Linked DNA regions of Struthio camelus. The protein of the gene in region 1 interacts with the protein of each later gene in a pairwise test. Links are inferred from orthologs where the notes say so. Each region holds a gene or a part of one and is shown in the gene's direction. Other genes may lie near its edges.

Region 1 (6,990 bases):
AGCTGATCATTAACTGACCGGAAATTCCTGACCCAGGGATCGCTCACGCCTTGTGCTGGCCTGGGCGCTGGACTGAGGTCCAGGGCTTCTGGGGCTGCTCCCACAGCCCAGTGAATCATGCTCTGGGCTGCCGCAAGTGACTCCGAGGACGTGGCTGTGCTCCACCTCCAACAGCAACAACACAACACGCTGGAGCCGCCCCGCAAAGCTGGGGTAGCCAGGACCCTACGCCCAGGCTTGCTGAGCTACGGATGGGTTGGCAGGGAGTCCTGCTGCCGCAAGGACCAAAGGGCAAAGAGAGAGTATCACAGCCCAGAGATAAGGGCCCCACCAGCTCAGACAAGCTCGGACATTGTACCGTGGGTGCTAGCACGCAGGGCACCATGCCGGGATATCCAGCCCTTACACAGGAGCACCACGGTTTGCAGTTTTGCATGGCCAAGAGGAGAGCCCTGCAAAGCACAGCTCAACAGGATCGCTAGCAGCGCTCAGGGCAGCCTACCTTGTTCGAAGGCTCCAGTTTCAAAGCCGCCTTTAAGATGGGGATGGCCTCTCTGTATTCCCCCTGCTGGGCCAGGACCTGGAAGGCGAGACACAAAGCTGAGCAGGGCACTCGGGGTCCATCCCTCACCCCTGCCCTCTGTCCTGCCGTGGCCGGGCTGTGGAGAGTGGAAGGCAGAGCCCGCCGTGCACCCAGTCTCACCTTGCCCTTTCGGAAGAGGGCCTTGATGTTCCCTGGCTGGTGCTCCAAGACGAGATTACAGGACTTCAGGGCTGCCTCGTAATGATCCAGTTTGAGCTGAGAGGCTGCCAGGTTGTTGAGACATTTCACCTTCACATCTAGCAGCTCGGCCTCCTCCTCGGGGCTGAAGTTGACTGCAAGGATCCCAGAGCCCAGTTACGCCAGGAAGGCAGGAGCCCGGCCAGCCCTCCTCCCTGGGCAGGCCTGCCGATACCTTTTGAGCTGGAGTCGATGACCTTGAGGGCGATGTCGTAGGAGTTGATGGCCAGCACGTAGTCTGCCTGCTGGTAGTAGAAGTTGCCGCGCTCTCTCTTGCGGTTGGCCAGTGCTATCTTCTCCTTCCCGTTGAGCAGCTCTAGGTCCGGCGCGTCCCGAGCCTCCAGCAGCTCCACCTCCAGGAGGAGGGCTGCGTTGGGTGGGATATCAGGGCTCCTGCATCAAGGAGGGCACTTCTGAGGGCTTTTGCAAAGCGAGGGCCTGGCTGACGGCTGCCCCCTCTGCCAGTTCCCCCAGCCAGGCTGGGCCATGGGGATTTAGGGGATTTAGCACTACTTGCATCTCACCAAAGCCGCAGGCTGCTCCAAGCGCCTCCGGTCTGCCCTTCCCCACTCACCTGCCCTGGGGGCCGTAGCAGTACTTTGCATCTGACATGATCAAGGCTGTTTCTCCCATTTCCAGGAGCTGCACACACAAGTCCAGAGCCTACAGAGACCAATTTTGTGGAAGGAGGTGAGCAAAGGTCCTGCCCCTCCAGAGAGGGAAGCCAAGCGGCTGCTTCCCACTGGCAGACGAACTGCGCAGCTGGGGATGTCGCCGACTCCAGACCCTGCCAGCCGCCCCTACTGCCCCAGGCCCGGGGCAGCGAGGTGCCGCCCAGCGCGGTAAGAACAACACAGCGATAAACCAGGGACAGCGGCAGGGCAGAACTGGGCAATCAGCCTGCAGCACCCACATTCGTTTCTTTACGTGGTCTGGAAACAGGGTGCTGAGTTAAACCCCCCACCATCCCCAGTCAGCAGGAGGCCCAGGCTAGAGGGAGCAGGCACAGGAGCCCAGTGCTGCACCTCTAACTGTGCTCTCCTCCGCAGCCTGGCCGCAGGGCTCGGCCTCCCGGCTCTTACCTGCAAGACATCGCAGTCTCCCAGCGTGAAGGTGAGGCTGGGGTTCTCCTCCACCACGCTGCCGTCCTCCAGCGTGGCCTTCAGGCGGACAGTGACGTCCTGGCCCTTGCGTGGCCGGCTTTCCACCCCCTGACCCGGCACCAGGGTCTTCTTCTTGAGCAAGCCGCTCCCTGGGCAAGGAGAAGGCGGAGGCACGTCAGCCCACCGCAGCGGCAGGGCCCTGCACGGGGAGGGGAAAGGGAGACGGCCTGGCTCCGAGCCACGTCCCCCGGTTTCCAGCAGCGATCCCCCGCACCAGCCGGCCTTTCTGCTGCGAGAAGCGCCACCATGTCACCCCGTCGACCATCCCACCACCTCCACCCTAAGCGACGGATCCCCACAAACCACGGCGGAGCCCAGCAGCAGCCTCGGCCCCTGGCACCGGCTCAGGCGCAGAGCTGCCTGTCCAGTCCTTCCTGCGCTGCTGCTCCCAGAGTGCCTGAAGAGCTGTGGGGAAGCCCACCTCCTCCGACCTCCCCTGAAGAAGCCCGTTCAGCTCCGTGAGCCAGCTCAGCGCCTTGGACAGGAGCAGAAGATGCAGAAGTTTCCTCTGTAGGCTCTTACCCAAGACATCGAGCCATTCCTGAGGGTCCTCAGCTGCTTCCCCTGGGGCCTGCTCTGAGGACTGGGAGTCCTTCGCTGGGGTCCTCACCCGGCCCATGTCCTCCAGCGGGGGCAGCTCGCTCAAGTCATCATCATCATCTTCCAAGACCTCAAAATCCTCCCCGCTGTCAAGCGGGGATGTGCTGGCTCCAGCGAGCTCCGGGCAGGACAGGTCCGTGCCGCTGTCCGCCCAGTCCGGGGAGCTGCTGCTCTGCTCCTCCCCGCTGGAAGCCATTGCCGCAGAGCAGGGAGAACAGCAAGCTAAAGGGGAAAGACATTCAAGAGGTTGGTCCTTTGTTTGCCAAGGGGATGAACGCAAATGCCAGCCCTCCCCCAGCCTGGACAGAACACTGCAAGCGGTGACTAGGAACAGGACAGATACCACCAACCCTGCGCCGATGGAGAGCTGCAGCCGTCGCTCGCTCATTCGGACCTCGCACCTCAGCCCCCAAAGAGAGCAGCCAGCAATAGCAGATCACGCTTTCCTTTCCCGTAAGGTTTTGGGGGACCCTCCCCTGCTCTGCCGGGATGCACTGACAGGCTGAGCCGAGCTGCCAGGTGCTCTGGCCTGTTTCTGTGTATTGAGACACCTGCGTGCGGGGCAAGCGGGTCTCCCCGCTGGCCCGGCAGCTGGAGGCTGCGCAGCAGGCAAGCGCGAGAGCCTGAGCGGCAGCCCCAAGGGCCGCCCCGGGCGACGCTGCTCTCGGCGAGCTGGACAACCGGAACGTGGTCCAGGCCAAAGGCCTGAGCGCCCCGGCAGGGCCGAAGTCCGGCTTCCCCAGGGAGGCGAGGGCCTCCGCGGCAGCGAGGCCTGGCGGCTGCTGCTGCCGCCACCTTCCCGGGCGCTTCGCCGGCCCCGCTGCAGCCTGTAAGCGGCGCTGGAGCCGGGCACGGGCGGGTAGGAGACGCCCCGGCGACGCCGGGCACCGGCGGAGACTCGGCAGCGGGCGCAGCCGCCCGACGCGACCCCCGGAGACCCCCGCCGGCCGGCCACGTGCTCTCCCCCCGCCCCGGCCGGGCGGGCGCGCGCGCGCGCCCCCACGTCACCGTCGCCGTCACGCGCCGAGGACTCCCCCTAGCAACGGCCGCCGCCGCCGCGCGCCCCCCGCCGCTCCCACCTGGCCCGCGAGTCAGCTGCCGCCGGCCCCGCCCCGCCGCTCCCATTGGACGGCCGCGCCGCGCCAGCGCCAACGCCATTGGGCGGAGCGAGAGCTCGTCACCGCACCGCCTTAAAGGGGCCGCGGGGCAGCCCCGGGCGCAGGGGCAGCTGCCGGCGCCCCGAGCGGGCCCCGGAGGCCTCTCGCGCTCCCCGCCCCGGGGTTATTTATACGCCGGTAGCAAGTCCGGGCCCGCCCGTCGCGGGTCTCCGCGGCCCCGGCACCAGCGGGGAGGGAGAGGAGAGGGGGAGGGATGGGCCTTACCGGGCGCGGGGAGGCCCCGCTTCTCCCCTCCCGCGGGCCGGCGGCCGCCGCTTCCGGCCGGGCGCCGTGACGCAAGGGCGCGCTGACGTCACGGCGTCGCGCGCTGCGTGACCCGCGTCCCGGAAGCGAGGCGAGCGAGCGCGCGCGCCGCCGGTGCCGCCGCCGGTGCCTCCCCGCCATGTGAAGCCGCGGGGACGGGCTCCCCCAGGTGCGCGGGCCGCCGCCGCCGCCGGGAGGCCCCAGCCGTTACCGGGCCGCGCTGCGCCGCCGCTGGGAGGCACCGGGCCCGAGTAGCCCCTTTAACGGGAGGGGGAGGGACCCTGTTACCGGGTGGGGGGGGGGCGGCTCCAATACCGGGAACAGGACGGCGGGAGGTTCCGTTAACGGAGGAAGGAAGGGCACCGTCACGGGAGGGATTCGGTGGGGCCGGGGGAGGCTCCGTTACCGGGGCCGAGAAACGGCAGAGCGAGGGGGTGTTTCCCTAACGGGGGCCGGGATATGGCGGGCGGGCGGGCGGGGGGGGTCTCTGTTACCGGGGCTGGGATGCAGTTGGGGGGGGGGGGGCTCCATTACCGGGAGCGGGATAAGACAGGCTGTGGGGGGGGGTCTCCGTTACCGGGGCTGGGATGCAGTTGGGGGGGGAGGGGCTCCATTACCGGGAGCGGGATAAGACAGGCTGGGGGGGGGGTCTCCGTTACCGGGGCTGGGATGCAGGAGGCGGGTCCTCCATTACCGGGAGTGGGATGCAGTTGCAGGGGGGAACTCGGTTACCAGGGCCAGGATGCAGTTGGGGGGGGGGGGTGTCTCTGTTACCGGGAGCGGGAGGCGAGTCGAACCCGTGCCGGTCCCGCAGGCGGCGGCGGGCGCGATGGAGCCCACGGCCTCGCGGGTGTTCTGCGGCCGGGTGATGGGCATGGTCAACGCCGAGGACGTCAACGCCATCATCCAGGCCCAGAAGAACATGTGAGTCGCCCCAGGGTGACCGGTCTCCCCTGGGGACCCAACCCCGCGCTCACGAGTGCCCCGGCTCCGGGCACGGCCCTGGCAGCGAGCCGTGCTGGGCGGGGGGGGGGGGCGGTCTCGCCAGGCATCTTCAGAGCCCCATTTTCGCTCTGAGCAGGTTGGATCGATTCGAGAAGACCAACGAGATGCTGCTCAACTTCAATAACCTGTCCAGTGTCCGCATGCAGCAGATGAACGAGCGGTTCTTGCACCACACGAAGACGCTCGTTGAAATGAAAAAGGACCTGGATAGCATCTTCCGAAGAATCAGGTGGGGCCAGGGTCAAGGGGCTGGGAACGTCCCCCGGGGGTGGTGGGGGAAGAGAGAAGATGCAGAAACCAAAGGGTCTCTCTTCACCTAGAGAGATCACGGAGCGCTGCTGTCTGCAGAGAGGGGTATTAAAATGTGACACCCCTGTATGAAGGATCTTGGACCGTCACAGAAACCAAAAACAGGTGGAGAGAGAAAAACACATAGCAGAGCAAACACGTGGGTGTGGGGAGAGGCACTGGTTGCTGAGCTCGGAGCTTTAGGAATCCCAATTTAGGAATCCCGGCTTTGCAGCTGGGCCAGTGACTCTCTGCACTCCCTCTGCGTCAGCAGGGAGGGACGCAGCGCTCGCGCTGCTCAGGAGGGTTACGAAACTTGGGGTTTGCAGAAGTACCCGGTTTCCTGACAGGGAAGCTGTGGGAGCTCTGGCTAACGCTGGAAGTTTTGACTCCGAGGGCAGGGAGCCTCTTGGCACAGTGCTGGGCTTCCTGGGGAACAGACGGGGAAGACGCAACGTTCCCCAAAGAGCTAACTAAAGCGGGAGGCGCCTGCTGGTCTGGCAGCCGGGCGTCAGAGGATGAGGGATGCGGTTCAGCTCTGGAGCGACCCCCGAGGCCAGCTGTGCTGAGGACTCACCAGCCCGCCGCTGGGGGGGATTTGTCAGCTCGTGCGTAAGCCTGGCTCTCTTTTTCTCCTCTGCTCTTGCAGGACGCTGAAAGGGAAGCTAGCTAAACAGTACCCAGAAGCCTTCAGCAGTGAGTGATTCTTTGTTATTAAATCTGACTTGCAGCTTTTATGTCAGCTTGCTTTCAGCGTGAGGAGTCCTTTTCCTAAGGACACATGGCTCAACTTTCTGGGGTTGAGACCCCTCTAAAGAAAGAAATAATGAGACATCCAGGCATGTGCCAGCTCATGGTAGCTGCAGTGAAAAGTTTGGAGAGCTTTTTTTATTCTCTTAAATATGCTTTTAAGAGGTTACAAAGCCACAAATAACTGATGTCACCTAAATTAGTAGCCATCTATTGATTACTGTTACAAGCAGTCAAACCTTTGAATTAGAAGGGAGCAAACTCTTTGCTGTGCTTATGTTAGAGCGTCTCTCATACCTGGTGTTACACGGGCTGTGTATTGTTGTCACAGATGGCCAAAGCAGTAAAACTAACTGCTGCGTCTTCCCTTTCAGACATCCACGAATCTCCGATTCTAGATGACGATGATGATTTTGACCCTGTTCCAAAAAGCACGACAACCACCATTGCTACCTCTGAGCAGAGCACGGAGTCTTGTGACACAAGCCCTGACATTATCTCTCCAACCATGAGTCAGGATTTTGAGGATTTATCACAAGGCCAGTACGATTCACCGGCTGTGAACGGACAGAGTCTAACAGATGAAGAAGCTGCCAATGACCTGGACTAGGTGTACTGATACTGTACAGCCACAGCCAGCTCAGCTGCCTGGCCTGTGGAGAACTTCCTGTCCTGTATTTATATTTGTGTGTTTCCTTGGCCATTACTGTTTTGGGAAGAGGGAAGTGAAGGCTGAGAGGTGACGGCTGAGTGAAGAAGAGACCCCCTTCTGCCTCTAAACTGCCACCGTAGTGCATACCCTGCAACCTGATACAGGCAAATAAGTAAAACATGGATTTGAAACGCCTTTTGTCCTTTCTCATTTGTGTGTTCAGGAGAGCAGCAAACCCCTACGTTTGATTTAGACTTTGGCTCTTTGGAACAGAAGAGCGCTCTCCACAGCTCGGGGTGTGGGTGTTTTTCTTGGGAACGTAATTTGTTT
Region 2 (7,354 bases), on another chromosome or scaffold:
TTGTAGGTAGTCTAGCTGCTAGCTTGTGCTTTAGCCTTCTCACGTGTCTGGCCTCAAACTCTACTTGTGGTAGAAGTGTTCTACCAGCGTGAAAAGGAGTTTCTCCAAGGTGCACCTGAGCAAAGATTCACGTGCAGTTGATGCACGTGAAATGTGCTTTACAATAAAAGAGGAGACTTTCACTGCAATGTCACTGGGGGATGCTATTACCTGTGCTTGTGAAGGATCACTCCGATTGATGTTAGCAAAAGTGTATAACCTGGTTTTAGCCCTGTTTAGCCTTCTCTCAAATTTATAAGCAGTAGTAGGAACATGTGATACTGTCCAGTTCTGCACCCAGGAACAGACTTAAGAACTTCTTACGGGTGATCTCAGCAGGTCAAGGTGATGAATATTCTAGATGATTGGCTGCAGTGCAGTTTTGGGGTCTCTAATATAAATGTTGAAGTGTTGACTTGGACACTTGTTGGATTTCCAGGTCACAAAGCAATAGGGTGCAGGTATGGTGACTCGGATCACTAAGACAATCTGTATCTTCAAGGTTTGTTATTTATGCCTTTTCAGAGGTGAATATTAATTTATGGATGTAATTTTTTTTTTTAGATAGTGTTTATGACCGTGAAGGCCATTAACATTTTTTTGGAAGATAAGTGAAATTCTGTCTTACAATTATACATCTAAGGTCTGCAGTCATGCTCTGTATCTGGAGTAGTTCCTAATATACAGCAGCTTGTATAATGCATGTGATCTGTTGTCATTTATTTTAATTTGATATTGTCTCCATAAAATGATCTTCTGCAACCTGAATTCTCTGGATAATAACTGAATAGTGAGGCAAGTCAGAAGAAAAATGTGATTTCAGTTATCTTCCCTATCTTCTGTTGTTGACAGGCAGAAAAATGTTTCCCTGGAGATGGTGATCTGCATATGTATTTTGGCTTTCCCTGTTAGGTGGCAGTGTTACTTCTGTGAACAGTGAGAAACTCCTTTAGGGTCCTGTGTTATTCTGGACACTTGCTGAAGGCTAACTATCCTTCAACGGTTCTCTGTTGTATCTGGGTTTGGGACAATGTTGAGTGTGTGGGTGATTTTTTTTTTCATGTTTATCTTGTAATAAACAACCCTATTGCAGAATTAAGATGATGCACACTTTCTGCATTGTGTTGAGATCATCAAACTTAAAGTGAAATTACTAGGTTCCTGCCATATGCTGATTATTTTTCAATGACTGTTAACAATTAGTCAAGCTTGAATATAGTCAGGACCTTGAGTACTGGTTATTGAGTCTGAAGGAGTTTACTGAATCCAGCTGGTTAGGGGAGGGTCATGCTTATGCCGTACTAATACCACTTCTACCCTACACTTCAAAGTTAATTCAGATTTTTAAAAGGGGGGAGAGGTGAAGCTGAAGAACAGCAACTTCCATTTGGATACTCTAATATGGAGGAAAAAGTGTCCAATTTGGATTGGGAGTATCAGTCATAAAGATGTGGCTGGAAGTTATTCCTTTGCATGCAGAGTTAGGGGAGGATTTTACTTTTCCTAAAAGCCATCTTAATGAGCTTCAAGAGAGAGACTGGATGAAGTCCTGCTTCTTGCCCTGTGCTTGCTGAGGCTGGGCCTAGTCCTTCATGTGATAAGATAGTAACTGTCCATTGAGGAAGAACAGAAAAATAAGCATTGTGGACCTAGCCGGCAAGCATTACAAAGTGATTCAAAGGAGGGCTTGAATAACCTCTAGGCTGTGTGCCTAAGAGCTGCTTTGTGTTGTGCTTGCAGAGTGTAACTTGCTGTCTTTGACAAGTAAATTTTGATGGGTCCCTCTCTGAAGATGGAGGAAGCATCTCTTTAAGATTTGGAAAGCAAACCCTAAAGTATTAACAAGCTAATGAAGTACAGTTTTGAGGTATGGCTCTGGGCTGTGAACAGCAACACGTGAGACCCAAGGACATATTCTCTTCTGCTGACTCTGCGCAGAGGACTGGAGGTGATAACACTTTAAGACTGCAGAAGCTAGACTCGTGGAAACTCATCTTCTATGGACCTTAGAACAGCTCTTTTAAGCTGCTCCAGCTTGCGTTTGTTCCAGTGCCCTCGCAAGCAATTCCTTCATCTGCCCGAGATGGCTGAGCTCTGAGTGTACAGCTCTCCTCTCAGCATATCAGACCTTTATCTCTGATCTGGTCTAACAGTTTTATGTATAGCTACATCTATAGGTGATGAAAGCCTGGATTAGAGAGTTATGCCAATATAGGCTGGCCTTATGTTAGTAATGTGTAAGAAAAGCTGTGCCAGCTGGGGTGATCTGCAGGTGCAGGGGCAGTGAGCTCTGATAAACACTGCCATGTCAACAGAAACCTGAGCATCAGCACAGTTTCTGTTGGCAAAAATGGACTTTTTGCTAGTTTGCTTGTTTGTTTTTTTTACCAGCATAACAGGATTTCTTTGGGGAGATTTCCTTCCACTGGCATGGTTTTGCAAACAGCCAGGGCTGCTTATCAGTGTTGTTTACCCCAGAGGCATACTGACATATGTAAAGCTTTATTGTTGATTCTAGGTCATGTTAGGACTGCTCTCTGGTGCTGAATTGATACAGCTGGATCCTTTCCTCCTCTTTAAACCTCTGCTTGACCTGGGGGTTTTGGATCTGAAGTCCAATAGATCTAAGGAATTGCACCAATAACATCAGAAAGAGCAGGCAAGAGAGGTATTGGCGTGTGCAAGATTTTTCAGGAAAGGTGAGGCAGAAGGGAGAAGCAAATAAATCACTGGGGGCATTCTGCTGTATTAGCAGTAAAATTTCCTTGATCCGTGTCCCATTTATATAATTAAAATAATATGTTGGAGAGCTGCAGAGCTTCCATGAATCGGTATCTTTTCTCCCAATCTGTGTGTCTGAATAGAGTTCTTTGGAATTATGGCCCCAGTCCTGCAACCTGATCTGCATGTAGAGGATCAGGGATTAAATCACTAAATTAGAAAAGAGTTCCTCATGCCTTTCATCAAAAATTGGTTAACATTTTATCACATAATAATAGTAGTAAAAAATATCTTTTGTCTGAGCATGCAGTATGTAGTTAATCAGCTTGCCAGGTCTAATTCAACTCTACTTACTTCACTTTTCTATTTTCTAATTAAAGGGACCTATATTGGAAATGAAGGTTTTTACCTGCATTTTAGTTATAAAAGTGAAGCTGAGGAGTTTACTTTTCAGTATGCACACAATTCTTATTGAGGCAAGAAAAATCCATTAAGTTAGCCTTGAAAGTTTAAAGGCAAATTATTTCCCTTTGGGATAAACTCTACAAGGGGGAAAAAATGTTAGAGTCTAGTTAACTTTTCCTTTTAATTGGCGACACTTTTAATAATTGGAGCAGTTGGTCGGTTTGTTTGTTTTTTTTTAAATAGATGCGAACTTTCATGTCTCCTTTTACCAAACGCGTACGTATCCATTAACGTTTTGAGGTCGCCCAGGTTCCATGCTGATTCACTGAAGCGTTGCATCAGCATAGTCCAGCTTTTGTCGCAGCCCATCTGGAGGAACATTAAACACGGCTCCTTGTGCAACGTTGTCATTCTATTTCTGTTGTTTTTTATTTTATTTACGGTAGCTCTAGAAATAGCCTGCCCTACTTGTAGTTGTGCTGTGGGCTTTAAAACATTCAGCATAGAAGCTGCTTTAAACGCAAGACGGAAGAGACTGAGAGGCTCGTTAGGCGAGAAACGATGGAGGCAGCCGCGTGTATGGCAAGTATCCGAGCGGTACAGGTAAGCCTGGTTTACTGCGGAGGGTCACGGATGCGGCCTGCGCGCCTGGCCGCGCGGTGATCCGCCTGCCTCCAGCCTCGCTGCCGGAACCGACAGTACCGTTTGGGATATACTTGAGACGGGATCTTCGAGACTGCCTGGACGTGCCGGGCCTGGCGCTCGCCCCGCTCCCCGGGAGCCGGCCGGAGCGAGGCCCGCGGGCTGCCTGCTCGCTGTCGGCGGGGCACGGCCTTCCTGTCAGCTGCAGAGCACCGGTGCTATTTATAGAGCTAGGAGCCACTGCGGCAGCTGTGTGCTGATTCAGAGGGGAAAATTCCTTCTGCGAGGGGCGGAAGCCGCCTCCAACCTCTGCGGCGAGCGTGAGCGCTGGAAAGCCGCGTGGGGAAAGGGCCTCCATCACCTGAAGGTAATTAGGGGGAAAACAGAAGGAAAGGACGACGTCCGGCCTGCTAGCGGTCGGGCGCTCCTCTCCCCTCAGCCTCTTCCCTTCCGCGCGGAGGCGCCTGCCCGTCCTCGTGACCCCACCCCCGACGCGGCGGCCATCTTCCCGCGGCCCCGCCCCCGCCCGGGCGGGGGCCGGCCGCTGTCGGCCAAACACCGCCTCTTCGCGCCTCCCCTTTAAGGAGCGTTGTGGTGACGTCACCCGGCCGGCTGCGGCTCCCGCTCGAGCGCAGGCCGGGCCGCCGCCGCGCGCCAGACGCCGCCGCCGCCGCCATGCCCTCGGACCGGCCCTTCAAACAGCGCCGCACCTTCGGTGAGCCGGGGCCGGGGGGCCGCGGCCGGGCTCGGGCTCCCCTCCCCTCCCCTCCCCTCCCTCCGCGGCGGGCGCCGGCCGCAGCCCCCGAGCAGCCGGAGCCGGAGGCTGCCCCGCGGCCCTGCGGGGGGCGGCGGCCGGCGGCGCCGCAGCCGCGCGCTGATGTAATGCCGGCCGGGAGCCGGGGGGGCGGCGGCGGCCGTTGGCTTTAACGGCTGCTTTTTGACGGGCCGCCGGCCCTCCAAGCCCGCTTCGCGGGAAGGAGCTGGAGCCTCGGCCTGGGCGTTCCCGGTGCCTGCGCACGGGAAACCGGAGCGCGGCTCGGAGGCGACACGAGCGGGTCGTGTGTCCGTGCCCTTAGCAGTCACCGCGGGGGGGGGACGAGGAGGAGGGAGCCCCTGAGCTCAGGCCTGTGCGAGCGCCGGGAGCGTTCAAGTGCAGAAGTAATAAGCGCCCTGGGGACCTGTGACATCCGTGCCGTAGCCAGGGGCGCGGGCGCCAGAGCTGCTCTGAGCTGGGGGACTGTAGCGCGCAGGTAGGTCTGAGCTGTAACGGTGGCATCCGACTGGCCTCGGAGGCCTGGGGGAGCCTTGCTGCTTGTGTGTCAGCAAAGCCTTTGGGGCCGGGCTTGCGAAGTCCCGTGCGAGATGCTTGTGCGCTGAACGCACAGCCGCGTACGTAAACGACCGGGATGTATTTATAATGACACGCATGTAGTGTCTGCCGCAGGAATGCGGTTATGAACCCGGGAAGGTAACCAAATCGCCTACTTACTTTTTATAGGCCCTTCTGAACATATGTCATTCTGAATAGCTAGCCTCCAAAGGATAAATGCTGTTGCTTTTTATCAAAATATTCGTATCCTTGTCTTATATCACCTTTTGTTGTTGTACTTGACTAGGGAGATACTTGCTGAATAAGCCCCCATGTTTAAAGCATGAAATAATACATTGCTCCAGAGTAAGCGTCATCCCAAGGGTAGCTGCTGTAAGTGAGGGCAAGAAATGTGTCTTTTGCACCTGGCTGAGTCATCAGCCTCCTGTGTGACTTTTTTTGTGTCTCCATTGGAAGAAGTGGGGTAACTAACGACCGTTTTAGAATGGGCTTTAAAGTCTACAGAAAAGAGTAGTAGTCAAAAGCTAAATGTTCTTGTTTCATGTTTGCCCTGGGTCCTGTCTTTAAACTTGTGACTGTCAGAGAACAGTAATCTCTTCAGAAATTACTCTCCCTGTTCCCTATCCGGTTAGCGTTAGAGTCGTTATTGTTCCGAGGGCTTGATACACCTCTTAAATTTTCTGAGTCTTAAGAAAACTCAAATGCTGAGACCATACCCATTACTGTGTTGAAGTGTACTTCGTGGGAAAACTCAAATGACAAAAAGGTTTCCGTAAATGGTACCAGCTTTGATTGCCAAACTTGATAGTGAAATCAGATGAACGTGGACTTCTGTTTCCCTTGACCTTTTCCAGCTGGCATTGGGAAACATGCATGTTTCTGTTGGATTAATTCTGAGGGGTGGGAGGGGAGTATCAGTTGAGCATTGCTGTCTGAATAATGCCAAAGTCAATGTCTTCAGGCCAAATAAGGCCGCCTTCTGTGTCAGATACTGCCCAAACAAAGGTGAGGGTGTTTTCTCTGTGAATTTAAAAATTGGAGTTTTTTCCTACTGAACTGTGGATCCAACCCCTTGCTGCACTCTTGGAAACTGTAAATATTTGTTAATTTATTATCACGACCCTTCTGGCCTTAAAACACTTCCCCAGCCTTCCCATGCTGCAGCAACCAATCCAAGCAAATGTGCACAAACAGGAATAACATGAACTCTGGGTACCCTGGGATACTTTTTTGGGTCCCTGCTGTATCTTGTATTTTCTTAAGCTGTATATTAAAAGCCAATAAAGTTCTGAATTAAACCCTTAGCAGCTACTTACTCTTAAACTGGTGAGAGCCAGCTTCTTATGGCCAGAGTTTGGTTTCCCCTTTGCAAATTGCTCAGCTTTTCTACAAGCCAAAGGAAAACAAAATCCAAGGCTCAGAGGAGGTGAAAGCAAGCAGGATTAAAATAGCTCAGAAGGGACAGGGTGGGGGATGAGGGAGTTTGGTGCTGGCAACTGCAAGTGCTCCTTGTTTCTGTGTACTTTCCTCTGCCCTTTTGCTCTCTCAGCTGACTGGTTTGCAGAATTCTCCCAGGGGGAGGGGAAGGAGGAGGCGGCAGAGGCCTGGCAGCCCACGCAGTTGCTTTGGGTCAGGGCTGGAATTGCTCGGCTGGAGAAAGTAAATACATCTTGTTTTCGTCTTCAAATCATTACACAACAGGAGCAGGAAGTGATTGTTTACAATGCAGTTGGAGAGAACTGATGGAAAATACCTCCAGCTACACTGTATATTCAGAATGGCTTAATTTTTAAGGCTTCAAAACTACAGAAGTGGAACAGTTCCAAAAAAACGGAGAAAAGGCAGAGTCAGGAGTATGACTGTTTACAAAAACTGTTCTGGCTCCAGTTGCATGGCAAATGGCTTGCTTGGATCTTGGTCTTGTTTTGCCGCCCATTCCTGAAGATTCCACTTTCCTCAATGCCTGTTTCCCCCTTCTTGTATATTAGAGACTGAGATTTATTTTTCTATGATTTTCTTCTGCTTGTTGCTCTGCTTGCTGTGGGGTCTGTTCTAAATAAGCTTTCCATATTCATATTCATATTGAGGAATTGGAAAAGGCACTGACTGGGAAACTCTGAGGGCTCAAGTACACTGAGGACAGGGAGTGCTGGCTTCTCGTGTGATCTGAAGTGCCATAAACGGTGAGAGGGTGAGGCTCTGTGAGCTGATCCAGTC

The links. The genes of interacting proteins can lie anywhere in the genome.
Region 2: the proteins of KXD1 (region 1) and MAP1LC3A interact in binary tests that used the Homo sapiens proteins (3 or more experiments, as listed by UniProt). The two-hybrid records come from large-scale screens. The link is inferred for Struthio camelus from reciprocal best matches to the Homo sapiens genes KXD1 and MAP1LC3A.

Annotation. Positions count from the first base shown.
Region 1 is NC_090967.1:5,912,421-5,919,410, forward strand, and holds KXD1 (kxDL motif-containing protein 1), read left to right. Parts: upstream 1-3,975; 5' UTR 3,976-4,134; intron 4,135-4,779; 5' UTR 4,780-4,794; coding exon 4,795-4,889; intron 4,890-5,046; coding exon 5,047-5,199; intron 5,200-5,907; coding exon 5,908-5,954; intron 5,955-6,382; coding exon 6,383-6,618; 3' UTR 6,619-6,851; downstream 6,852-6,990. Other genes in the region: peptidyl-prolyl cis-trans isomerase FKBP8, read right to left, coding at 503-580, 704-876, 957-1,174, 1,356-1,444, 1,864-2,033, 2,467-2,766, 3,624-3,702.
Region 2 is NC_090959.1:3,825,956-3,833,309, forward strand, and holds the start of MAP1LC3A (microtubule-associated proteins 1A/1B light chain 3A), read left to right. Parts: upstream 1-4,341; 5' UTR 4,342-4,482; coding exon 4,483-4,522; intron 4,523-7,354. UniProt on the Homo sapiens protein: Ubiquitin-like modifier involved in formation of autophagosomal vacuoles (autophagosomes). While LC3s are involved in elongation of the phagophore membrane, the GABARAP/GATE-16 subfamily is essential for a later stage in autophagosome maturation.